Sus scrofa: one gene and its partners. The protein of the gene in region 7 interacts with the protein of the main gene of each other region in a pairwise test. Links are inferred from orthologs where the notes say so. Each region holds a gene or a part of one and is shown on either strand. Other genes may lie near its edges.

Region 1 (4,105 bases), on a different chromosome or scaffold from region 7:
CTGGCTGCTGTCTTGTTGAAGAGCTCATTCCACCAGTGGTTTGTGAACTCCTTGGCAGGGTCGTGTCCCACCTGCCGGAGGACGAAGTATGAATGAACCCAGGACGTGTTATTCCCGTCCCTCCCCTGGCCTCAAGACCCCCCTCTCCCATCTGCACTGACCTCCCCCAGCCAGCCCAGGCTTACCCCATGAGTGTCCTGCTTCAGTGTCACCCTGAGGGCCTGGGTGATACCGTTCTCCTTCCGGCCCAGGCCTTTGCCTACGGAAGACAGTGAATGATTTGAACACCCCAAGCCCTCACCCCAGCACATGGCGGATCCTTGCCATCCACACACCTGGCACTAGGAAAGCCCCCGCGCTCTCAGAAGCCCTCCCAGTTTCATTCTTTCCAGCACCTCTCCATGCAGCCCTCCTGTCTTCCAGCCTGAACTATCCTTCCTTCATAATTCTTTCAGGACAGAGGTCATGTTTCTTCCTCCCCCTCCCAGTCCTCCCACTTCTTTCTCCCATTCTTTCCTTTTCTGGAAAAGCCAGCAACTTTCTTCACAAATTTCCCTTTAAACTAACTTTTCCTCCTGCAGTTGAAAGGACTACATAGGGTTAACCCAGAAGGATCCCTCTTCCCCAGGCAGAGGCTTGGGGGTACGTGGAAGGGGCCTGTGGGGATCACCTTGAGTCCATCCATGCTTTAGCAGCTGCTCCTCAGCAAACTTCATCCCACGACTCTTGACCTCTGGGGTGACACTCATGGTGAGAAAAGAGTCACTGTCCTCAGCCCCTCACCAGAGAAGAGGAGTTCACAGTCATCCCTTTAAGAGGAAAGGAAAAAGTGCTCAAATCCTGCAAAAAATCCATCCTGACTGCTCTTATAAGAATTCTTTCTTGCAGAGTTTCCATTGCCATGCAGCAGAAACAAATCCGACTAGGGACCATGAGGTTGCAGGTTTGATCCCTGGCCTCGCTCAGTGGGTTAAGGATCTGGCATTGCCATGAGCTGTGGTGTATGGGTGCAGACACAGCTCGGATGCTGCGTTGCTGTGGCTGTGGTGTAGGCCGGCAATTGTAGCTCCGATTAGACCGCTAACCTGGGAACCTCCACATGCCGTGGGTGCAGCCCTGAAAAAAAAAAATTCTTCCTGGAAGCAGAAACAGAGGAAGGAGGCCTGGTCCTTGAGTGCTCCCTGTCTGACCACAGAGAGGTTAATATCATCATGTTGAAAATCAAGGAGGATTAGTATTAATAATAACACCTAAATTTATGGAGATCTCACTACATGCCAGGCTGTGCTAGGGCTTTTTTTTTTTTTTGTCTTTTTAGGTCCGCACTCTTGGCAGAAGACTCTGGCCTGACACAGTGGATTAAGGATCTGGCTTGCCACAGCTGTGACATAGGTTGCAGTTGCAGCTCAGATTCTGTTCCTGGCCCAGGGAACTTCCATATGCCACAGCTGTGGCTGAAAAAGGAAAACAGAAACAAGAAACAAAAACTAAAGACTATCACTGCTGACCTGAGTCACTTAAATGAAGTTGTGTTAAGATCATTTATTACAAGCATTGCAGACCATTTTTAAAGCCAATTAATGGCACTACTGGAGTAATCCTCTAGCCTCCCCAAATGACAACTCCAAAGGCCAAAACTTTCATTTGTGTTTAAGAAGGTCTAGGAAGTATCCTAGTTTGGGGGGGTGGGGGGAAATCAGACACATCGTTAAGTCACTCCTCCCAAATATTCCGTATTAGGCCTAAGAATGATGACCAGTCTGGTTAGATAGGAAGAGGAGCAAATTTAGGATGACTCACATGTCTGTTCATATTTCTACTGTGAAGGATGGTTACCTGAAAACCTAAATGAGATCTTGAGAGTCCCAACAGAAAAACACTGAGTGAAGAAATGGCCCTATCTTGCTTCTTGATACTGCAAGAGAATTCAAGTTCAAACACTGAGGTCTTTAAGGCCACCTCGAGGCTCTGCCTCTTCTCAGAAGTTATTTCCATCAGGCCGCAGATTCAACAACAACTAACATTTCAGCATTCATTCAATGCCAGCTTCACACACATTACCTCATTTCAACAACCCTATGAGGAGGCATTTTTACCTTCATTTCCAAATGAGGAAAAGGCATTGAGACGTTTCATTACTTGTCCAAATGAAACAGCTGGTAAGTAGCAGATTTAAGATCTCAGGCATCCCAGAACTGACATTCTTAATCACTAGGGTCCTCAGTCTGACAGCCATTAGTGCTTTACACTGTAGGACTTTACCACAGCTTGTCCCTCTTCACAGTAATTCGAAACTATATGCCCTGGTTTTACTCCCCAACCCCGGTGCTTCTAATGCAGCTCCGAGAACAGAGAATGCGTTCCGTCGTTATTCGCTGAACTGAAGGACACAGGTGGAAACTGCCTTAACAGAATGGATAACTGTGGACAAAAGCAACTAGATCCCAGGCTCTGCGCCGCAGTCTTTGTGAAGGCAGCGACTGCACGTTCAGGAACTGTTTTCTCTCCAGTTAACCTGAGTTTTCTGGAGAAGGGGCCCAGGTCCACAATTTTTAGAGCAGATCCAAACAGCCAGCTACCGTTTCCCTAGACCTCCTTCCTCTTGAGATCTAAATTCTAGCCCTCCTACCGCAGTTTCGCTTTGGTGAAACTACTTTCCTGCTCTCACATTTGCTTCTGAGCCCGGGCTCCGACAGCCACCGTCTGGGGGACTACAGCTCCTTACCGTCATTTGCAAGGTCCTCTCCGCAAAAACACATGCCAGCGACATCTTGCGCGCCGCCATCTTCCCGGAAGTGCGTTTCAGTCCTTCTAGGCGGTGGAAACCATAGAGATGCTCGCGGGAAGCAAAGTCGCCGTGGTCCTCCGGAAAGTACTTTTGCGTGGCCCACGTACTTGTATGGTTGTCATAGAAACTCAGCCCCAGAGCGCGCCCAGTTCTAGAGATTTGGGAGGTGTCCTGCTTCTTCCCTGTAGGCCCTGAGCGGCCACGGGACTTCACCCCTAACCGGCTCACTTGGGATCCTGATCCTTCCGTCTGACACCGTCTCGTCCCAGACACAAATAGGAGGAAGGAAAACTTTAGGGGGAAGCACCGAGAGTGGCCTGAGAGGTTCGTAGAGGCAGAGGAGGTAGTACCTCTGAGGTGGTTTGGGGGGATGAATACTCAGCCTGTGGGAAAACAGTTATTTATAAAATCCTAGAGAAGAGAAGTTTCAGTAGGTTTATCACGTTTTGACTCACCACCGTATGCCAGGACCTGCCCCTTTGGTACCAGTGATTCAAAGATGCATAAGACTCGAGCCCTAACTTCGGGGAGCACCTAGTATAGCCCAAGCAAAGTTGGGACCACGAGTGGGACTGAAAAGAGAGGCAGGATCCTGGAATCCATACCAGGCTGAGGTGTTTGGACTTGCCTTGTCAAGTATGAGGATCCCTTGATCAGAGGAGGGAAAGAACCTACTGCCAGGAAATCAACAAGAGAGGCTGCACACGCTCTCATTACCACAGACTGTTCCAAGGCTTAACTAAGCCACCCAAGAATAAAATCTGAAAAGAAGAATCCCTCGTTTTCATTAATTCACAGTAACTTAGTGCTCCTGCCCCACCTCCACCCCCCCCAGAACTTCAAAGGCTATTTCCTAGTAAAACCTTGTAATAATTGCTCAGTCTTTCATACTCCCTCATCCCCATAAGATTTTTTTCCATAAAAACTAATTTTACTTTTTTTTTTCTTTGGTCCTTTTTTTTTTTTTGGTTTTTTTTTTGTTTTTTTAGGGCTGCACCCAGGGCATATGGAGGTTCCAAGGCTAGAGGTCTAATCAGAGCTGTAGCTGCCAGCCCATGCCCCAGCCACAGCAACACAGGATTCGAGCAGTATCTGCAGCCTACACCACAGCTCAAGGCAACGCCAGATCCTTAACCCACTGAGCAAGGCCAGGGATCTAAGCACAACCTCATGGTTCCTAGTCAGATTCATTTCCGCTGTTCCACAACGGGAACTCCTAATTTTACTTTCAAAATATGCTACTTGTGGGAGTTTCTCTGTTGTGATGCAGAACAAACTAACCCGACTAGTATCCATGAGGACATGGGTTGGATCCCT
Region 2 (2,560 bases), on a different chromosome or scaffold from region 7:
GGGATCAGCACTTCCAGGCCCCTCGCAATCGGGTCAAGGTCTCTCCAACTCTCACAAGCCCTGGCTCTTCCCCCAGAAAGTGGCCCCCGGCCCCCCTCCGTTACTCTCTGGGATGGGACCTTCCTGAGGCGCCTTTAAAACGAGCAGAAAGTCAGTCTGGTTGCCCTTCGAGGCGCCTGGCAGAGGTCTCGAGAGGCTGCAGGGCCAGGGCCCCGCCTCTTCGGGGGAAGGTAAGCGGGGAGCGTGGGGCTCCCCTGGGCCCGGGCCCCCATCGGGACGGCCTCAGTGCTTTCAAGGTGTGGAGGTGGTTCCCGGCTCCTCCCGCGTCAGATCCCTGGACACGACCCAGCCCCAGCTCTGCAGGCGGCCGCCCGGCCGTGCCGCCCACCTGTCCCGCCAGGTCCCTGAGCAGCACGGAGGGTCTGGGCCTGCCCGTCGCCAGGGCTGACACCCGTGCTGCCCACGCCCACCAGGGCCGTCACGGAGAGAGACACCGGGCGGAGGGGAAATTCTCATCACTTTAATGGTCAACAGCTCCGGCTGGCTCTGGGTGGTACAGTTACCGGATGTTCTCAAGGACCCCCGAGCGCGGTCGCCCCCCCGCAGCGCTGCTCCCACCACATCCTGCCGCCCCGTCGGAAACCCGCACCGCCGACCCCGGGGTCGCGGGACCCACGTCTTCGTGGGCTGAGCCGAGCGCCCCGGGGCCCCGGTGATGTGTCCTTCCGTTCAGCGGACAAGCGTGAGGCCGGCCGCCTCCCGGCTCACACGGCGCAGAGCTCGTACACCTTCTTGACACAGTACACCAGGGCCGCCAGCGCTATCGTGTTGTGCAGTCTCTTCCTGTGCAGGTCGTCCTTGCGGACCAGCACCACCGGCGTGGAGGAGGTGAGCGTGTGCAGGGGCAGGCGCGACAGTTTGTAGGCGTCGTACTCCACCTGGTACTTGCAGCAGGGGTCGAACTGCCAGGAGATGCCGTAGAGGGTGCAGCAGGCCAGGCTCAGCACGCCCGCGGGCAGGGAGACGTAGTGCGAGTAATCCAGGGGCAGCGCCAGCGGCGTGAAGAGGCAGGCGGTGCCCGCCAGCACGGTGGTCTTGTGCAGGCAGTTGCCCACGGTGATCCAGCGGGCCGTCTCGTCGCCGATGCGCGTGGGCTCGATCACGATGTACTTGTACTGGGCCTCCAGGGCCTGCTCCAGCTCGCACTCAAACTGGTCCTGCGCGTTCTCCCCGCTGTAGATCTCGTGCACGATGTAACAGTCCGTGGCCGCCAAGCTCAGCCTGCGGGGGGGGGGCGGGAGAAAGGAGCCGTGAGCGGGGCGCCAGCTGGGGGGGCCCCGCCGAGCTCCGGAGGGCGCGCACGGCTCCCCGGGCCGCCCCCTTCCCGCCCTGCAGATGGGGCCGAAGAAGCAAGCCGTGGCCCACGAGAGACACAGCAAGGGGCCCTGGGGCTCCTGCGACAACATCTGTGAGGATGGCGGCCGACGACGGGGGCGGCCTGGCAGTTAAGGCAACGCAGGGTCAGACCCGTGAGTCAGCAAAGCCCCAGGGAGAGGGGGCCTCGGGCCCACGACGCGGGGACAGAGGCCTGTGACGGCAGGTGCGCCGTGCCCTCAGCCCACCAGGGCCACTGAGCCCGCACGGCCCACCTTCACGGGTCCGGCCGTGGTGGACGGAGAGCAAGCTGCCCGGGTCCTCCTGGGGCGGCAACGCCAAAGCCCCCCCAAGGGCCACCTGGCCGGGAGCGCCCCACTCAGTGCCTCGGCCTTGGGCGCTGGGATGAGGGTCCAGGGGCCTCGTGTTCCTGCCGCTCTGACCCTGTGGGCCCAGGACTCTACCTATGGCCACTGAAGGCGTCTCACCCACGGAAGCAGCCCATGCAGCGACCCGGCCTGCCGGGGACGTGACGCTCACCAGCAGACAGAGCCCAAGCCCGCGGGAGGCCTCAAGCGGGACCTCCCACGCCGGACGCAGGACCCAGCGCCTGTCACCCTCTGGCTCGTCCCCGCCCATCCAGACCCTCCACGCTGCCCCCCAGCACAGCCGGTTCCCCCAGTTTGGTCTTCACTGCTCATCTCGCAAGAAGGCTTCTTTACCCCGGCCTCTCCCAGCTGGACGGGTGGCTCCCTCTGCATCACGTCACCAGGCCCTGCGAAGCCACCTTGTCACCTGCCTTCCCTTCAGTAGCCCCTAGTCCCCCGACCTGGCTCCTGGTGGTCACTGTGCCCCCGGGTCCACGCCCCTCAACCTGGGGCTCTGAAGGGTGCCCCCCAGCAGCAAGAAGCACAGCGCCGAGGGCCCAGACTGCAGGACAGCAGCCCCGAGGGCCCCACGACTGCAACAGGCCCGCCCAGACCCTCTCCGTTCAGCATCTCCTTTACTGAAGAGGGCAGTTCCGTGTGCAGGGGGCAGAGACGGGGCTGCCAGGCAAACGCCAGGGGAAAAGGACTGGTGGCAGGAGAGCCGCCACTGAGTGCGCCTTCCTGTCGTGGCTCCCAGGTGGGGTTCAGCAGTAGAAGCTCCCCTGCAAGCAAATAAGCAAGGCCAGGAGGCAGGGCTT
Region 3 (3,347 bases), on a different chromosome or scaffold from region 7:
TCCAGAGGGATGGGGCAGGAGAGCTTCTGGGGTGAGTGGTGCTGCTTGCGGAGGTGGGGGTGAAGGGGTGGGGATATAAACCCAGGGCCTGGAGCTGGGAAATCACCAGGAGGAATGGCCTGGGGAGCCCCCAGCAAGGCTGGTTCCCGCGCTTTGATGAGCTTTGCAAATGAAGATCTGAACTGATGGTGAGTAATGATGCCAAGATCTCAGCCACCAAGGAGGGCTGCAGGTAGGAGGTCCCACATAGGATTTTCAGTGAGGGGCCAGAGGGTCTGACTGGGAGAAGATATTTCTCAGAAGGCAGAGGCGATTGTAGGGGTTGGAAGGGAGAGCCTGAGACAAGCAAGAGTGCTTCTGCGGGTCTGGCTGTGCTACCGCTGATGGTGCAGAGAAGGCAGGTCCACTCTCTTCTCCCGGATTTGGGGGACCCGCGGGTGCCCCCGCTGCCGTGGGCTCCATCGCACAAGCCTCTTATTGGGTTGCGGACAATTAGACCAGGCGCCACTGGGCAGAAGGAGAGAAGAGCTGGTCTCAGCCGCCTGGCTTGGGGAGGCTGGAAAAGCTGAGGTTCTGGGAGAGCTGGCAGTGCCGGCGGAGCAGCCTGGGGAGGCAGGTCCGGGAGGCAGGTCGGGGTGGGGGGTAGGGGCCGGCCCGTGTGGCTGCGCCTCCGGCTCCTCGGGGCTCCGCTGCTGCCCACAGCTACGCGACCGCCGCGGAAGTCAGGGCTCGGGGCCCCCAGCGGCCCTGGCTCCGGAACGGGGAGCTGTCGTCGCCAGAGAGCGAGGACGCCGAGCTGCTCCCGCGCGCCATGGAGTCGCCGCGCCCGCAGGCCCCGCGCCGCCGCAGCTGCGCGCGGAACGAGCGGTCCAGAAGCAGGTAGATGAGCGGGTTGGCGCAGCTGTTGACGAAGGCCAGGCAGGTGGCGACGGTGAGGCCCCAGCGCAGCGCCAGCAGCAGGGGGCAGGGCAGCGGCAGCGCGCCCAGGCGCGCCAGGTGGAAGACGGCGCGCAGGGCGCAGAAGGGCAGCCAGGAGCCCACGAAGGCGCCCTCGACGGCGAAGATGATGCGCAGAGAGCGGCTCCGGGCGCGGCCCATGTGCGGCGGCCCGCGCAGGCGGTGCAACACTCGGCAGTAGCAGACGACGGTGACGGCCAAGGGCAGCGCCAGGGTCAGCAGCAGCAGCAGCAGGCTCAGGCCCTGGAAAGCATCGGACGGCTCCTCGCCGCACTGGCTGCCTCCGCCCCCGGGCAGCGGCCGCAGCCCGCGGAAGGCCAGCGAGGGCAGGCCGGCCGCCAGTGCCGCGGCCCACACGCCGCCGCACGCGGCCAGTGCGCAGCGCCGGGTGCGCCAGGCGCGCGCGGCCAACGGGCGGCCCACGGCCAGGTAGCGGTCCACGCTGAGGCCGGCCAGCAGCAGGGCGCCCGCGCAGCGCGTGCCGGCCAGCGCGAAGCTGCTGAGCTTGCACAGGCCCTCGCCGAAGGGCCAGCGGCCTCCCCGCGCCGCCGCCGCGGCCCACAGCGGCAGCGTCAACACGAAGCACAGGTCAGCGGCCGCCAGGTGCAGCACGAAGGTGTCCACGAGCCGCCGCGGGCCGCGCCGCTCCACCAGCAGCCGCACCACGAAGGCGTTGCCCAGCAGGCCCACGCAGAAGGCCGCCAGGTAGAGCGCGGGGATGTAGGCGTAGCTGTAGGGCAGGTCCGGGGCCGCGCACACCTCCAGCTCCTCGGGGGCGCCCGACCCGGAGTAGTCCCAGAACGCCGGCGCCGGGCTGGAGCTCCAGGGCTCCGTGGGGCGCATGGCCAGCGAGGCCTGGGCAGACGCGGTGCCGAGCGAGCGGGCAAACGCGGTGCCAAGCGCGGGATGGCTCTTCACGGCCGGTGCCCAGCACCTCCCTTCCTGCCACCTCGACCGGAGCGACTGGGTGGGCAGGAAGGGGTGGGGGAGGAGGAGGTGGGGAGAGGGGGAGGAGGGGGAGAAGGGGGGGAGAAGGGGGGAAGGGGAGAAGGGGGGAAGGGCAGGCCCCTGTGGCGGAGACGTGGCTGAAGATTTGGGGCTGGCCTCCCGGGCAGGGCGGGCTTCCCAGCTCGGGGTAGGGTGGGTGGGGGGCCTTGGGGAAAAAGTCCTCAGGTCTGGGAGGTTGGCCTGTCCCTCCCTCCATCAGTCGCTGATGCCTCAGGGGTCTGACGCTGGTGCAGGAGGCTGGGAACGCCCCAATCCATCCCCATTCCCACTATCTCTCACCCCTGTTCATGCTGCTCCCCATCTCTGTGAGGAGACAGGACCCGGAGCTGTGCCAGCTGGGCACAGTAGATCGGGTGGGGGGAGCCTAAACCCCCCGGGGCCTACCTCCAGTCAGGCTCTAAGGGGTGTTGGCCTGCAGAGATGCCGGATTAAATGTCTCAGTCCAGAGCTCGGCTTTTCTGACCAGGGCAGGTTCTCGTGGAGCCAAAGGGAAAGGGTTTTAAGCTGAAGAGAGAGCGACAGCCTGTCTGGAAGAAAGCTGGAATTCAAATCCCAGCGGTTCCCTGACTCCCTCCATCCGCCAAAACCTTCCTGTGGAGCCACAGGCAGATGTGAGCTCAGTATGAAAGAGGACAGAAGATGCCTGACTCAGCACCTGAGGTCCCTCTCCGACATCTGGAGTCGGAAGTCAGGCCTCTCAAAGAAGAGTGAGCTGCCCTATGGGCTGAGAGGCAGGGGAGGGTTCAGGAGGGGGGTGGGGGTGCAGACTGGCCTTGAAGGAGCCGGTGGGCCCAAGGAGAGTTTGGAGGCGGGGTGCCCACTCTTCTTAAGTGGTCGTCCTCCCATGACTGCTGTTCCGGAACTGATGTGACAGTGTGTGTCATCACCAGGAATGAATGACCCCTTGGGCAACCTGGCGTTACAACTTTGAAGCGGATTAATTATCTGTTTTGTTTGATTCAGTCCTTAATAGCCTCACCATGTGGCAGGCACTGTTTGGGGTATCTCGAGAGCGACAGATGCCCGTTTTTTGACCTTGTGGGGGCAGTGTCACTGATTCAGCAGAGGAGCTAGATCCAGGTGCAGGATGCCTGTTCAAGGTCAGCCGTGCTGTCGTGTTAATGGTCCTTAGGGAGCTGGGAGGAGGGAGTAGCTGCTTCTGGATGGGAAGAGGGAGTCAGAACCTCTCCCGAGGTGGCTCCTGAGCTCGGCTCCAGAGAAGGGACTGAAGGGGGAATTAGAGCAGCAGGGTCCAGGTGGGAGGAGGTGGTGGGAGGGGATGCGGGAAAGGCAGTGGAGGACTCAGATGTCACCTGTAGGAGCCACTGGACATTTTGAGGAGGGCATACCCACCCCCCCATCTGCTCTGAGCAGGTCTGTGC
Region 4 (3,929 bases), on a different chromosome or scaffold from region 7:
GCAGGGGTTCTTCTCAAGACTGACCTCGTCCAGCTGACCGATCAAGCCCTGCAGTTCCGTTTTGGAGCTCAGGTACAGCTCGGCGGGATTCTGGGCTCGGAGGAGCTCGTTTTTTATTTCTCTCACTCGCGTGAGGACCTTCTCTATCTTTAGAATGGAGTGGTTCTGGCCCAGGTCGAAGGCGTAAGTGGTATCTGCCTCCTCCTCCAAGTCCAAGTACTTCAGCAGCTTGTTGATATCCTCCACCACCTCCTTCCGATAGTTCCTGATTTCCGTGTGCCCGCACACATCCAAAGCGTCCAGATCCGCCATCAGCCCCGAGAGCACACACGACAGGTGCCTGCAGGTCTCGTCACTGCTCACGCCCATCAGGAGGGCGATCAGCGTGCCTCGGGCCCGGTTCACGTCACACATCACGGAGTTGATCTTGGCCACCGAGGGGTGCGCGTCGGCGGAGAGCGGCAGCGAGGGCGGCTTTCTCCCGCAGTCCTCGATGATCTCCTGCACGGCGCAGACCTTGGTTAGGGTGTGATACCGCGCCTTCCGCAAGGAGGTCCGGCCGCCCGTCTTGACGCGCGTCAGCCGCAGGATGACGTCCTGGATGCCCTCTTCAAACTCCTCCGTCACACAGCTGCCGCCGCTGTGAAAGGGCACGATCTTCTCTTTCACCAGGGACTGTGCTTCTTGGAAAATGTGCTGGATCTCGAGCCGGTGGGGGTGGTTTGCATTCTGCTCCAGCTCTTTGAGAAGACGCTCCGTCTCCTGGGCCGCCCTCTTCCGCGCTTGCTGAATATCTCCCTTGCCTTCCGTATCTACAGAGTCTATTTCAAAGAGTTGTTTCGTTAGAATCCTCTCCAGTTTCTTGTACGTCTTGTCGTCTGACAGGCCACTGAAAGCAGTTACTTGCTGTTCTATGCTTTTTACCTCCTTTTGGATCTCCTGGAGCCGACTTATAGAAGGATGCTGGTTTCCCATCGCCATACTTTGGTTGTGTTCAGTTTCACAAGCACTAAAAGATGGCAAAAACGATAACTCATTACACTACAAAGCCTGCAGCATGGTAATCACATATTCAATTCATTCTACAGTTCTCATTCTAAAAAGACAGGCTCGAAAAAAAAGGCTGGCTACTGCAGTCCAAAGGAGAAGAAATCCAAGCACAGAAATCAGAGCGACTCATCAATTCCCTCTCATGAAAACAGCTAAACAGCTGCACCGAGGTTGAGACCAGGGCTACTGCCGAGTGGAAATAGGAGCCGGAGCTCTGGGCCTGTGAACTTCAAGTTTCCTCAGTTGTAAGAGAGAACAAACAACATATGCCATCATAAGTATGGCATGAAGCTGAACATTTTGGAAAAGGTGCAGGTATCTGAGGTCTTAAAACTGGAAGCTGTTTTTTTTGGCGCGGCAGGGCACCTTTGTGGTAGCTCTGCTAACCTTCCAGGTCAGTACGTCTAAGCAGGGCCCTCCTCTCACCCCATTACAAAGAGCTATGACTAATTTCCGGAAAAAGTAAACAAAAGGAACCGAGCCACTGAAACAAACACCAGTGGTTCGCAGACACCGCCCAAGTCCCCGCTTCTACCGTCCTCTCCATCCTTTGAGCCCTTCTAACATCTCCTCTACAGTGGCATAGGGCTCCACGGGAAAGGCGACTGGGACTGTCAAAGCACCACCCTGGGCTCTGGAGGCCTAGTACCTCCCCAGGCCCCATCATGCTCCTGCCCCTTCTCCGAAATACATCGCACAAGCATGTGACAACTCTGAGCAATCCATTCACTAGCCTCACATTAGGAATCCAGAATGGCTCAACGCACTTTTTTCATGCTCCTGGGTTTCTATCGATCAGCTCTTTGGAGGGGGCCGGGTACTCAAGTGAAACCAATCCCTTCTGGGTGTCCGAGCCGAGAACACGCCTCTGGAGGCCCAGGGAGAGCAGGCGGCCTCGATTCTTCCCTTCCCTGCCCGCCCTTCCCTCCCAGCACTTTACCCAGAAGAGGTCTAAGCTGGTTTGGTCTTGGCTTCCCGTGGGTGAAGTGGCGAGATGGAAGATCAGCCCTTTACGGGGTGCGGCTCCGGAGCTGGGCCCCCAGCTGCATCCCTCTCACCCCTCCCGGCTAGATCTGAACGGGGCAGCCGGTGAAGGGGCCGGCAGTGGCAGCGGCAGCTACTGGCCGCAGCGGCCGCTCCGGGCGTCTCGCCCGGACCCCACGACGCACCCGCCCGCCCTGACCTCACAATGGCCCTCGGGGGAGGGGGCGGCCGCGCTCGGCCGGGCCTGGGAGCCGGCGAGGAGGGAGGGGGCTCGGGCCGGGCCGGCTGCGGGGAGCCCGGCTCGGAAACCAGGGCCGGCCCGCGTCGGACCCAGGGCTGGGGCGGCGCCCACTCCGGCCCGGCCACAACGGGGAAGGGCGCCGAGTCGGGGGTCGCCCGCCTGCTGCCCGCGCCGAGGGAAGGCTGCCGCCGCCTGGTTCTCGCTCACCTGCGCCGCCCGCGCCATCGCGCACTCCGCCGCCGACGCCCCGCGCCGCCGCAGCTCCCGCCGTCGCCTGGGCCCGGCAGCTCCGCCCCCGGGCCGAACAGCCCCTCGCCCTGGGAAAAGGTCTTCCGGCTTCCGCGCCCACCCCGACCCTGACCAAGCCCGCCGCTGGCCGTCTGGCGAGTCAGCCTGGAACGGCTGAGCCCCAGGAGCAGGCGGCCACCCGGCCGCGCCCGAGCCGACGGCCGTCCTCGCAGCCGGTCACACGCGGGGAAAGAGCACGATCGGCCGCGCTGTCCCCGTCCTCGGGCTTTGCGACCGTGCCGTAAGGCAGCCCCTAGCGCCGTCGCGACTCCGCCGTGCGCCGCGCGGGCCGACGGACGGCGACCATGGCGCCCTGGCGGCCCGGAAGCAAGACGGTCCTCCTTCCTCTCCGCCGCGCCTTTTCAGGCCGTGGCTGTCAGCTCGCCCCCGAGCGCAGCGCTGAGCGCAGGGATGCAGCGCCCAGCCGCGTAAGTGGGGTTCCCGGAAAAGTTGGGCCGGGAGGAGTGACCGCAAGGGGCGGCAGACCCGGGCCGCACCCCTCAGGGACCCCTGTGGGACCCTCACACCTGCGACGCGCCACTTGCGGTGTCGGCTGAGCCCCCCGGCGTGGGGACCCGGAGCCGGCACGGGCTTTGCGGGACAGGCGAGTGGAGCGCGGGGAAGCCCTGGAGCCCCCCAGTTTCCTGCGTCAATCCCCTTGTGGAGGTGGGACTGAGGGTGCCGCCGCCGTCCCGGGGCTGTTGAAAGAACTTTAAGAATAGCATAGCCGTGCAACAGAACAAAGGGTGGGGGAAAAAATGTATACATGTAAGAGTAATTTGGTCCCCATGCTGTACAGCGGAAAGAAAATAAAAGTAAAAAAATAAATAAATGAATAAAAGAATAGCATAGCCGGCCAGCAAGTTTATACGTACCGGGGAGTTCCCGTCGTGGCGCAGTGGTTAACGAATCCGACGGGGAACCAAGAGGTGGCGGGTTCGATCCCTGGCCTTGCTCAGTGGGTTAAGGATCCGGCGTTGCCATGAGCTGTGGTGTAGGTCGCAGATGCCGCTCGGATCCCGCGTGGCTGTGGCTCTGGCGTAGGCTGGTGGCTACAGCCCCGATTAAACCCCTAGCCTGGGAACCTCCATGTGCTGCGGGTGCGGCCCTAGAAAAGACAAAAAAAAAAAAGTTTATACGTACCGTCTTTCTGTCGAGGATAACTGGCTTTTACATGTAAAGAGCTCTTGACATGCGCAGCACGTGTGTGTGTCGTCTTTATGATTAGTAACGCTTTTCTTCAAGTGATGGCGTACTGTTTTGTAGGACTTCACGTTGAATGTTTTTGTTCATTTGGTTTGGAAACCGTGTGCATATATGTATATCTGTGACTGAAGAGCCATAACGATTAATATCTGTAGCAGTT
Region 5 (3,500 bases), on a different chromosome or scaffold from region 7:
AAAATCAAATTTCATTACTTCGAAAGTAATGAAGTACTGCATGAGAGAAACAAACTCTAGAAGAATCCATCAAAATGTTACTAGCTATATTTGTGTAGTACAATTACAGGTGATTATTATCTTCTTATAATCTTTTTATATATTTTTCAATAACGAACAAATACTAGTTTATGTAAGTTTAAAAGTATATTTTTAATGGCATTATTAAAAAAAAAAAGGCTGCCTTAGGTGGGGTGCTTGCAAGAGTAATAACTAGAAAAGTATGTATTTGTATTTTCTCATGGAAATTTTGAACCTGTCTTTTGGTCCCAAAACTCAGAAAATAAGAAAGCCCTGATACCTGATAATAATGAAGATCTATCTAAAATCATAGAGCCTCTTAGGGCTGTTAAGTACCTAAAAAGTTTCTTAGAGTTTGGCAGGTGAAAACAGCATACAGAGAAACTAAAAGTCAAAATTGTTGTTTTTGATTTTAAAATGTTAATATTCACAGAAGCAAACCTAGCTACCAAACAATTCTTCCAAGTATTAACTTACTTGTAAAATTACACACTGGTGCCAACGACATTAAATTAAATTAGACACTAAGTTTCGAATGGTGGTACAATCCTGCCACCTAGAGCTCAAAGAAAATTGTTCATTTCAAAAATTACAATGAACATTGACAGAACAATGTAAGTACGAATATTCAACTATTAGCCACACTAGGCAGTAAAAATGAATACCAGTAGATCGCCTTATTTTAAATACAGAGAAGAAGGTCCACCCACATTCTCAGATTTCTCCATGATTTTAAGCTCAGGAGAATGATTCTTGATCTTGACCTCGAGTACTGTGTGAAACAACTCTAAGTACAAGAGAAAACGAATTCTTTCCTTCATATACTCTCCTCTAGTGGTCGTATTCCTACTAAAACAGCACAGTAACTAAGGCTGGAATCCAAACAATTCTGCAGACAAAACCAGCCTGCCTAGACCAATGCTAAAGTTCGCTTCCATCAGTCACCTCACAACTTCTATAAACCTTCTCACCAAATCGCCACCGCGAACAACTGTGCATCGGTGAAGAATTAACATTTAAGGGGAAACTGGGATGTGGGCGGGGAAAACAGCTGAAAATAGGTAAGTGAAAAGGAACTGATGCAAACTGTTTGGGGAGCTACTAAGATACGGAACATTCAGTATCTTTCAACTTTTTATCGTTCAAAATTTACATATCTCCTTTAAACAACAGTTCACTTCCAGGAAGTAATGCTTCTGCTATATGCAGACATAAAGGCATGAAGGTGTGTATGTACAAGGACTTTTTTCAATGCAGCTGTTCGCAATCATGGAAAGGAAGGGAAGGAAGGAAACAGCGAGAAGGAAAGCGGGGAGGAAGGGAAGGAAGAAAACCCACAATACTGCAGCAAAAACCAACTCCATTAATCAGGAATAAACAAATGCTGTTACCTCCATACAACAGAATATATCAAATAGGAGTTCCCGTCGTAGCGCAGTGGTTAACGAATCCGACTAGGAACCATGAGGTTGCGGGTTCGGTCCCTGCCCTTGCTCAGTGGGTTAATGATCCGGCGTTGCCGGGAGCTGTGGTGTAGGTTGCAGACGCGGCTCGGATCCCGCGTTGCTGTGGCTCTGGCGTAGGCCGGTGGCTACAGCTCCGATTCAACCCCTAGCCTGGGAACCTCCATATGCCGCAGGAGTGGCCCAGGAAATAGCAACAACAACAACAACAACAAAAGACAAAAAAAGACAAAAAAAAAAAAAAAAAAAAAAAAGAATATATCAAATACACTCAAAGCATGTTTGCTGACTGATTTTCCTAAGTTCTCTCCTTTGTGAGGAAAACATTAACAATGGAATTAATGCCTAGAGAGCTTGCTACCAATATTCCCTGCTCATTAGATTTAAACAAAAACCTCATGGGCGAGAACACTGGGCCTCTGTTTGGATTTGCCAATGAGGTGGACATCAAGGACCTGCTTCTGATTCGGACTTCTTCATCACCTTTTCTGGTGACCACCGACCAACCACACCCTAGACTGGAACGGTAAACACGGCCACCGAGAAATCTACAGCATGACTCATGTTGCACAGGAGACTTCAGCCAACTTCGTAAGCAATCACAGCTTGCACACACACACACGCGCGCGCGCACACCAACTCTCGAGACGCAGTGAGCTACTCTGACTACCTTCCCCGTGCTCTGTAAGATGGTCGTTCGAGTCCTCCACACTCGCTCTCTGCTGACAATATCTCGGGTCACGTCCACTTCAGCATCCACGAAGCTCCTCTGCTTGAGGGCTGTTATATCATCATCTAAGTCCGTCTTGATTGTAGATCTTTTCTTAGCCATAATTTTGGCTTTGATTGCGGCAATTTTTTCCACTGACATAGCTTCAGACAAAGACCTGAAAGCAATTTCTTTTTTAGTATGTGTATAGCAAGGATCGCTTGAGTACATCATAAAATATTTTGCTGCATTTACAAGCTCCTGATAATAACACTTTAAGTGGCCATAATTAAGATTTCCTTCTTATCTATAAAACTGACAGACTTGATGACTTATAACCATGTAAAGGAGAGTCCATGTAGAATTACTGCACCATACGCAGATTAGTAATTTCTTAGGAGGAACAATACAAAAAATTTTGCGTTTTTTCATTTTGCCCCCTCAAAAGCATTCACTAATACGGCCTTTTAGATTAATCACCATCAACCAATCAGAGAATTCTGCACAAGTTGATCACATACCCTGGGACACCCCTCCCTCACCTTGCATTTCAAACTGCTTTGCTGAAACCCTTTGAAGAGTCTGGGTTTTGGGGGCATGAGTTAGCCATTCTCCTTGGTTGGCCCTACAAAAAACCTTTCTTGGGACCCCACCCTGCCCCTGCAAAAAAAAAAAAAAAAAAGTCTTTTATATGAGACCCGTATTTGCTAATCCTCCCAGCCACACAAATTACACAAACACACACGCATGTGTAAGCATGTGCACACCACCACCTTGGAAGGGGGCAAAAATACTTCATTCTACAAAAAACAAAGTTCACACTTTCCTTGAAGTTTATTTCAAGGTTTCAAATCTGTGTCATAGTGTAACAACACATCAATTTTATAGGTGACAGAAGCTTTTATATGCCACGTAGAAAAAACTTTTATTCCCTTTAAGGTATGGAAGGTAAAACAGTATTCTGAAATTTTCCTTTTCTTTTCCTTTATTTCACTTTCAAATAACATGTAAAATGGCAAACAGAAGCTATGATTTCATAACTATAAAAAAAAGACTTAATGAAAATAGATTTCATTAAAATGATAATCTTAGGCTTAGCCGAATTTTTGACAATGTAATACAAAAAAAGGGTTCAGATATCTCAACGGCAGTTGATGAAATTATTACTCTCATCACAAGATGACAATCCTCAAATACATGGAAACAACATGTGGGAAAAGGTCGGGAGTTCGGGCAGGTTCAAACACAGCAGTGTCATATATACGCTA
Region 6 (4,211 bases), on a different chromosome or scaffold from region 7:
GGCCCAGGGACACATGAACGGGGACAAAGGGGCAGTGGGCTGGCCCTTCCAGGACCTCCGGGAGAAGCACAGCCCAGAGGACTCCTTGGCTTAGGGATGCTGCAGACCAGCCACATCAGGGCCGGGTCCAGTGGGCTGCAAACCAGTACGCTGATGCCTCTGGGTGAGGGGCCGTGGACCCCGGGCCTGCCTTCCTGCTTTGATTCCCTCCGCAGGGCAGCCCGAGTGCCCGGGCGCCCTGCCCATGGGCCTCACCTGCCAGTCCTCCAGGTTCTGCACGGCCACGAACAGGCAGCCGGAGACGTAGAAGAGCTTCCAGCCCAGACTGTCTGGGGAGTGAACACCGGACAGCCCAGTGAGGGATGGCAGTGGGGGGCGAGGTGCCCCTCCCGGACACCTGGGGACCCGGCTGACCGCCCACACCTGCAAGGACAGCCCCTGCCACCATGGCCGCACCACATGGCGGACCCTCCGCTCTCCCCCGGGGTCTCCTGGAGCCGACAGTAGCGGCGCAGCGTGTGAGAGCGGGAAGGTGGGCATGCGCACAGGGACCATCCCTGCAAAGAACCCGAGGCGGATGTGAGCCTGCCTTTCTGAAGGCTGTTTTACGGCCAAAGAAAATGCTGGAGTGGGAGGACTGCCACCTGCAGGGGACACGCCAGCAGAGAGGTGGGGCCGCCTTGCACACCATCGAGAGGCAGGGGCGACGTGCCAAGCCGGGCCCTGGCGGGTCACACGCAGCAGCAGCCCCTCCTTTTCTCTAACTTCCCGTCAGTCAGCCGAGGAAGTTCCAGGGGCACATGACGCATCTCACCTCCACTGTAATACGCAGCAGCCAGGCCGATGGACGCGATTCCTGCAAGAAGGAAGCAGGCACCTTCCCAAAAGGCCACCACCAGCCCGGAACCCGCCTCCCCCCAGGACCCGAAGGCCCCGCCCATGGCCCGGGGATGGCTGAGGGCGCGGGGGTGAGACGACCACCAGGCTCAGAGGTGGAGACACGGCAGAGGAGGTCTGCTCAGGAGAACATTCTCCGCCAGTCACCGTGTTCACCAGACGTGTACGGGAGCCTCCAGAGTGGATGGACTCCCACCAACAGCACAGGGAGCGGAACTTTAAGACCAGACTGCAGACAAAGGCCCAGTCTGGCACGTGGGATGAAACTGGCAGGGTCCCTGGAAAGAAGCCAGAGCTGGGCTGTGGACGGCACAGGCACCGCCCTTCACACGTCAGCCCCAAGCAGCACACTACAGCTGCCCGGCAGATGCAGGGCCCTCTGAGGGGTATGACCTGGATGGAGGGGGGGGCCCTGGCATAAACCCTGTGCCTGGAATGGGTGTGTGAAAGCAAACAAAAGGGAAGTACAGGGACCTCAGAAGAGCATGCGGAGCATTAACCGGAAGCTATTAAATGGTTTAACAAAAAAAAAAGCCTAGACAGACACACATCATCTGTAAAAGCACAGACAGAACATAAAAGTCGGAAGAATTAAACAGCTGTTATGTCTTGGAGGAGTAGAAGCAGGGACAAGCTAACGTTCACCTTCATCCTTTTTGAAAGTTAAATTTTTAACTTGAGGGGAAAAGCGGACGTCCTTACCAACCAACAGGGACCAGGACCTGATGCCTGGAGCCCTTTTCAGATGGAGGCAGGAGCTGGTGCGTGTCTCCACCTGCATGTACATCCCAGAACGTGCTGCCACCTCTCTCAACAGGAGACGCGGGCTAGGGGAGAGCAGAGAGACAGCTGGAGCCCCGGAGCCGCTGCCCGCAGGCAGGCACCCAGCTCCTCTCTGGGAAGGCTCCAGAACCAGTCCGCCTGCTGACTGCAGTCTCTGCAGGCAGGCAGGTCACTTCATCCCCCAGAGACCCATTTTCTCTGTAAGGAAGGCCCTTCTCTGCTGAACTGTAATGGCTGCACTGTGGCTGCATCCCCTGCTCTGACCCGCAAAGCACCAACCACTTGATCACCCCCTGCCTCCTTCCTACCTGGAAACCCTCAGCCTCCAGCAGCCTTCAAGCTTCCGGCACCCTACCAGAACCTGTCAGAACGCCCTCATTTTCCTTTGCTGGCCTTTGAAAAAGGGAACTGAAAGTCTAATCATGGTTTGAGTCTGTACTGGCACTGACCGGAAAAAGTCAGCTCTGCAGGCTTCACCAGCTGCGGAGCCAACAGGCTGCACCCGGCAGAAGGTCCCGAGGTCCCTGAGCTCCGGCTGAATGAACGAGTCACCAAGGGGCGGGGGGCTTATCTTCCAGCGTGGAGGACGCTGCAGTGCGCTCGAAAAGCTGGCTCCAGGGACCCCGTTCTGGGTAGCTTTTCAGCTACTTCCTATAAAATTAAATCAAACGTTGGCAAGAAACAGCGGATTCACTGCACACAAACGAAGCCCATTCCTGGCCATCACTAGCCCCCTCCCCTGAGGAGCCTCCACGCGTTTCCGCTGCCCGCGGGGCGAGATCACGCGGGTCCCCGGCACGAGCCGCCCTGGACATGCCCCGCCTGACCCTTGCGGCCACCGCGCCCCCCCCCCCCCGCAAGCCCCCGCCCGCCGCCAGCACCCCGGGCCACCTACCAGGGCCCGGTCCCGAGACAGCACCGCCGGAGGCCCTCGGGCTGCGGGAGCCGCCCCCCAGCTCGCCCCGCACCCGCTCATACCGCGGCCACGGCCCCGGCGCCCACCACAGACACTGACCTGCGGGCGACGGCGCGCGGCAGGCGGGATCTCGGGGCCTGCGGACCCGCCAGGTACGGACTTCCGGGGCTGGGGGCGGGCCCGGCCCACTTCCGGGCGCGCGGGGGCGGATGGGACAACCGACTTCCGGGCCCGCGGGAGCGGGCGGCGGGGGCCCCCTTTCAGCCGCGCAGGTGCCGGTCCGGTGGCGGGTCCCGAGCGAGGTCGTTGCGGAGGGCGGATCCCGGCCGGCGGCGGCCGCGTGGTACAAGGGCCCAGGCCCCGACCTGAGGGCGTCTGGGGTGATAGGCTTTAAAAGGTCCGCAGCGGGAGGTGAAAGAGGTGTTTAGGATGACGAGAAAAACGTATAAAGTATTATTTCACCTAACAGCGGGTGTGTACGAACGTCATGGTAGATTCTGTGAGAACTTCAGTGAGAAACGTTGGAGCAGAACTAAGATAGATCACGGGGTTATTGTAAAATTGTAAACTTGCCCCTGTTCATCTGCAGTTTCCATGCAAACCCAGTAAGAATATCACCAGGCTAAAAAACTAAATCTAAGCAATTCTGGGAGTCCCGTCCTGGCTCAGCAGAAGTGAATCTGACTCATACCCATGAGGAGGCAGGTTCGATCCCTGGCCTCGCGCGGTGGGTTAAGGATCCCGCGTTGCCCATGAGCTGTGGTGTAGGTCGCAGATGTCTGGGATCTGGATCTGTTGCTGTGGCTGTGGTGTAGGCCGAGCTCCGATTTGATCCCTAGCCTGTGAACCTCCATATGTCGCAGTTGCAGCCCTAAAAGGACAAAAAAATAATAATGATAATAACAATTCTGCAAGACACTGTGGAGGAGGATAGGGGGAAACCAGAGACCCGTGACCCCGAAAAACTCAATGTAGCTGGGAAAACTCAACATTCCCATGTTGTGATGGCAGTTTTTCTGCTACTCAGAGACGTGCCCCAGAGTCTGGGAGGGAGGATTGTCGTAGGACAGTTTTCTCCAGAGAAACCCTGGAGTGGCTGATTAAGTGGCCGTCTTGCTCCACTCTCCACCCAGACACTCAGCACGAAGGTCCCCAGCAGGACCCTAACTTGCCTTTTTATTTCCCACCAGGCAGGGAAAGACCTCACCTGTTACAGGAGGGCCTCCACCAGACAGCTGCTGCCCACTTCAGTGGCCTCCAGAGTGGAGCAGTCAAGATGACCTGTGGAGTGCTGGAAGAACATTCTAGAGCCTGTATCCCTACTTATTTTTTCTTTTTACATCTGTTATGTGTTTTATAATTTATGTAAGATTGACATACCATGCACATGACCTTAAAAGGAAATACACGAGGGTGTGCCCAAGCATGTAAGCTTTACCAGCATAGGCAAGGGTCAGAAATTTGGAGGTAAGGGCCTGATGGTCTGTCGTTAGGATCTGGTGCTTTCACCACTGCAGCCTAGGTTCAGTCCCTGGTCTGGGAATTGAGATCCCACAGCAAGCCACTGCACACCATGGCCAAAAAACACCGAAAAATTGGAGACAGCTTTCCTACG
Region 7 (3,500 bases):
TAATCCCAAGTCACAGTGGCACAACCATGGGAATAACAGTAACAAGAGCTCTGGGAAATTCATTGAACCAGACTTTGCTCTGAGGCGGTGGGGAGCACGGCTCACACTGGAGGAGGCTGGAGGTAGCAGAGCTGGAGGTGGGGCCAGGTGGGGGGCGGAGACTGGCCCAGCAGCAGGACCGAGAGCAGCAGCAGCAGCAGCAGGCCCAGGACTGGTGCTGGGATAAGTGGGTGCCGAGTGACCCTGCTGGGGGGCAGGACAGTGCTTGGGGGGGTGTCCAGGGGAGCCCACGGTGTCCCAGCAATGCCCTGATGCCTGACCACCACCCTCCTTCTGCAGATACCTTGGGGTACACCTGAGATGCTGGGAGTGCAAGGGGCACAGGCAGAGCTGGCTCCAGATGGGCCTCCTGACTGGGACCAGCTCCCTCACCACCGGCACCAGGGCTAGCTGCGGCTCTGGCTCTGAGGGGCTGTTGGCGAGAAAGGAAGGCAGGGCAGTGGCACTGGTGCCCCCAGGTCCCCTCCCGGGCCCTTGGGTTCCACTACCTCTCAGGAGGGGTTCCTGGGATGTCTGCAGGGTCTGAGTCTCCCAGAGGGATGGGTAGATCCACCTTGGAGGAAAAAGGAGACAAAGCTGAGGCACTGGGTCCTGGACTGGGAGAGGTGCTCAGTTCAGCCCAGGAGACAGAAGTGACCACACAGAAGGGGTGGAACACAGAGATTCAGCGCCTAAGCTTCTCTGAGCTTACTACAGCGCTGGGCTCCCCGCTCTGCCAGCTGCCTGCTGTGCATCCCTTGGCGTGTCACCCCACCTCTCCAGGCCCCATTTTCCCATCTGCCAGACAGGGATGAGAAGGCACTCACCACACAGGCCTGAAGTGGGGAATGAATGAGTAAATGCAGGAAAAACCAAAGTATGAGGAGGTGGGCTCAGAACAGTGCCTGACAAACAGTGAGCCCTCGATAACTGCGTGAGCTCCTCAGTATTATTATTTCCATTTTCTATCTGATTCTGGAAGTATCCAAGCCCCTGAGGGCAGAGCCCCTATCTTCTCCAGGAGCCCAGGCCTGGGCTGGGCCTGGTCCAGCATGGGCCCTCCACAAGCCCATTGCACTGCCCTGTGCCAGGTCCAGCAGGTGATTTAAGGTTAAAGCCCCAAATATTCCTCCAGGGGCTTTGCTCTGTGGACAATGATTATGGCAATAGCAATAGATTTAGAAGGGTAGAGTTCCAGCAACACCAGTCCGAGCCCCTCTCCTCGCTGTTGTTGCCTACCCTGCCTCTGCTCTGGCCAGGCTGGCCCTTGTGATGTGTTGCGACTCTGACAGCTGACTACAGATCAAAATCACACCAGCCATGAGGAAAGTGAGGTGGGGCCCCAGCCTCCAGGGACGGGAGCATGCTGTGGTGGGAAAGAGGTGGGCTTTGGGGTCAGGCTGCCCAGAGAGACCATCTCGGATGGTTTGGACCCTAGTCTCCCGATTATCTGGGTGCTCTCCTGGGCATACCTTGAAGGGTCCCGGGTGCCTGGAATGGAGGCTGGCACACCTTTGGGCTCTCATGTTTTTCTTTCTTTCTTTCTCTTTTTTTGTCTTTTTAGGGCCACACCCTCAGCATATGGAGGTTCCCAGGCTAGGGATCCAATCAGCGTTGTAGCCGCCGGCCTACACCACAGCCACAGCAACACGGGATCCAAGCTGTATCTGCGACCTACACCACAGCTCAAGGCAACGCCGGATCCTTAACCCACTGAGCAAGGCCAGGGATCGAACTTGTGTCCTTATGAATGCTAGTCAGGCTCACTAACCACTGAGCCACAACGGGAACTCCTGGGCTCTCACGTTCCTTATCTGAGGACCACAGGCTTCTGGCCTCACCAAATTTCCTTCCCTCCCATCCCTTGCCTGAGAATCGGGATTGTTGCCTGCAAATTTGAGGAGCAAAGGAGCCTGGGTATGTGGTGCCAGTGTGTGTGGTGTCGGGCAGGGCAGCTGTGACAGGCGTGGTGCCCCAAGGGAGTTCTGGGGCTGGTGGGGAGGGTCCGGCCCTTCCTGTGCAGGGTGCATGTGCGTTTTTGCAACCTGGGGGTGTAGCATGCCTGTGAGGCCTATGGCATGGTGGCTGCAGCCCTGAGTGTGAGCTGGTGGCGGAGGGGGAGGGGGGGGTCCCTTGGGAACATTCTGGCCGCCCACTGGCTGCAGCCTCCCTCTACAGCATCGTCTGCTCTCATTAGCTACCAAGAGGGCATTGTTATCTCTTGGCTAAACGATTTTTCTGTCTGGTGGGTGGAATGGGGGTGTGGGTGGGGGCTGGGGAGGAGCTGTGACTACAGCAGCCTCGTCTGAGGGCCTGGAGTGGATGGTGCTGGGGACTGCCTACCGTCACCTGGCTCTCCGCTTCCTCTTCTTCCTCTCTTCTGGGCAACCTGGGGTGGTGACAAGAAAGTCACTGAAAACATCTGTCATCCCTGCCTGGCTCCCTTTTGCCTGCCGTGTGGTGGAATCTTTAAAGCAGGGGCCTGGAGGTGGAGGGGCACCAGGGATGGGCCTGGAGGGTACTCTGGACCCCCATGAGCAAACTGGTGTGTGTACGTCAGTGTCTGTATTTTTCAGGGGAATTTTCACCAAATTCTCCAAAGAGTCTGTGACTCCTGAAAAGGATCAGGGGCCTCTTCACCTCACTGGCTTTTTCAGCTGCTACTTTCCCAGCTGATCTCCCAACTGGGAACTGAGGCTTCTGTTATCTCACACTTTAAACACTGGAGACTCGGACCCGAGACACACCCACTGCCCCAACTTCCTGTCTGGTGGGTTGGCCATTTTCACTGAGTCTCACTGAAACTCTTCTCTGAGGCCTGGAACTCCAGCTCAGACTTCCCCGAGCCCAGCATCCAACTGTGTGAGCCCTACACCCACCCCAAATCATTTCTCTGAGGTGCCAGCCCCCACCCTCCGTGCCTCCTACGGTCACAGCTGACTGAGCACCTGAAAGGCCTCCGTGGGGACTCAGGCCTCAAGCTGCCCAGCCCCAGAGCCCCTTGGAGACTCTGCTGTCCACATCATCCACTGGCACCTTCACTGGGGAGCAAGGATCCAGCCCTCCAGCCTCGGCCACCAGCTGCAGACCCAGCACCCTTGGGATACAGCTGTCCCCTCAGTTACTGCTCAGGAAGGCAGCTTGGCTCCTGGGCCCCCAGCCTCTGCCCCAGTCAGACACACGGCTGTCTGATCCTTTGGGACTTCTACTCAGGACCCCCGGTCCCTCTCAAGGTCCAAGCCCTCATCCCTGGTCACCTCCAGGGGACACAAAATTCACCACTTCCCTCACTCCCAGCTTCCCAATCTGTAGCTCATGCTGCCCCAGCATCCCTCTCCCCAAAATCCAAATGTCCAGCCCCCACACCAGCTTCTGTCCCCGCAGCTCAGCCCCATCTTCCTCCCTTTCCCTGGTGACGCAAGCAGAGGTCACAGCTCTGGGGCCCCCATCCTGCCAGATCT

The links.
Region 1: the proteins of CCDC155 (region 7) and GPATCH4 interact in binary tests that used the Homo sapiens proteins (3 or more experiments, as listed by UniProt). The two-hybrid records come from large-scale screens. The link is inferred for Sus scrofa from reciprocal best matches to the Homo sapiens genes KASH5 and GPATCH4.
Region 2: the proteins of CCDC155 (region 7) and TMEM11 interact in binary tests that used the Homo sapiens proteins (3 or more experiments, as listed by UniProt). The two-hybrid records come from large-scale screens. The link is inferred for Sus scrofa from reciprocal best matches to the Homo sapiens genes KASH5 and TMEM11.
Region 3: the proteins of CCDC155 (region 7) and GPR25 interact in binary tests that used the Homo sapiens proteins (3 or more experiments, as listed by UniProt). The two-hybrid records come from large-scale screens. The link is inferred for Sus scrofa from reciprocal best matches to the Homo sapiens genes KASH5 and GPR25.
Region 4: the proteins of CCDC155 (region 7) and BAG5 interact in binary tests that used the Homo sapiens proteins (3 or more experiments, as listed by UniProt). The two-hybrid records come from large-scale screens. The link is inferred for Sus scrofa from reciprocal best matches to the Homo sapiens genes KASH5 and BAG5.
Region 5: the proteins of CCDC155 (region 7) and CDC73 interact in binary tests that used the Homo sapiens proteins (3 or more experiments, as listed by UniProt). The two-hybrid records come from large-scale screens. The link is inferred for Sus scrofa from reciprocal best matches to the Homo sapiens genes KASH5 and CDC73.
Region 6: the proteins of CCDC155 (region 7) and C12H17orf62 interact in binary tests that used the Homo sapiens proteins (3 or more experiments, as listed by UniProt). The two-hybrid records come from large-scale screens. The link is inferred for Sus scrofa from reciprocal best matches to the Homo sapiens genes KASH5 and CYBC1.

What each region holds. Positions count from the first base shown.
Region 1 is NC_010446.5:93,485,060-93,489,164, reverse strand, and holds the start of GPATCH4 (G patch domain-containing protein 4), read right to left. Parts: upstream 2,801-4,105; 5' UTR 2,726-2,800; intron 810-2,725; 5' UTR 750-809; coding exon 671-749; intron 260-670; coding exon 186-259; intron 72-185; coding exon 1-71.
Region 2 is NC_010454.4:61,350,302-61,352,861, forward strand, and holds the end of TMEM11 (transmembrane protein 11, mitochondrial), read right to left. Parts: intron 1,282-2,560; coding exon 765-1,281; 3' UTR 501-764; downstream 1-500. UniProt on the Homo sapiens protein: Plays a role in mitochondrial morphogenesis.
Region 3 is NC_010452.4:23,367,774-23,371,120, reverse strand, and holds GPR25 (probable G-protein coupled receptor 25), read right to left. Parts: upstream 1,920-3,347; 5' UTR 1,801-1,919; coding exon 703-1,800; 3' UTR 501-702; downstream 1-500. UniProt on the Homo sapiens protein: Orphan receptor.
Region 4 is NW_018084979.1:2,107,337-2,111,265, forward strand, and holds the start of BAG5 (BAG family molecular chaperone regulator 5), read right to left. Parts: upstream 2,801-3,929; 5' UTR 2,483-2,800; intron 2,465-2,482; exon of another isoform or gene 1,991-2,464; intron 1,010-1,990; 5' UTR 982-1,009; coding exon 1-981. Other genes in the region: APOPT1 (apoptogenic protein 1, mitochondrial), read left to right, coding at 2,869-2,991. UniProt on the Homo sapiens protein: Co-chaperone for HSP/HSP70 proteins. It functions as a nucleotide-exchange factor promoting the release of ADP from HSP70, thereby activating HSP70-mediated protein refolding.
Region 5 is NC_010452.4:647,119-650,618, forward strand, and holds part of CDC73 (parafibromin), read right to left. Parts: intron 2,411-3,500; coding exon 2,194-2,410; intron 1-2,193.
Region 6 is NC_010454.4:656,027-660,237, reverse strand, and holds the start of C12H17orf62 (uncharacterized protein C17orf62 homolog), read right to left. Parts: upstream 2,801-4,211; 5' UTR 2,696-2,800; exon of another isoform or gene 2,576-2,695; intron 2,332-2,575; 5' UTR 2,130-2,331; exon of another isoform or gene 1,989-2,129; intron 1,725-1,988; 5' UTR 1,685-1,724; coding exon of another isoform or gene 1,600-1,684; 5' UTR 942-1,599; coding exon of another isoform or gene 815-941; 5' UTR 692-814; coding exon of another isoform or gene 645-691; 5' UTR 558-644; coding exon of another isoform or gene 556-557; coding exon 256-555; intron 1-255. UniProt on the Homo sapiens protein: Functions as a chaperone necessary for a stable expression of the CYBA and CYBB subunits of the cytochrome b-245 heterodimer. Controls the phagocyte respiratory burst and is essential for innate immunity.
Region 7 is NC_010448.4:54,497,489-54,500,988, reverse strand, and holds part of CCDC155 (protein KASH5), read right to left. Parts: intron 2,429-3,500; coding exon 2,383-2,428; intron 614-2,382; coding exon 549-613; intron 473-548; coding exon 344-472; intron 247-343; coding exon 102-246; 3' UTR 1-101. UniProt on the Homo sapiens protein: As a component of the LINC (LInker of Nucleoskeleton and Cytoskeleton) complex, involved in the connection between the nuclear lamina and the cytoskeleton.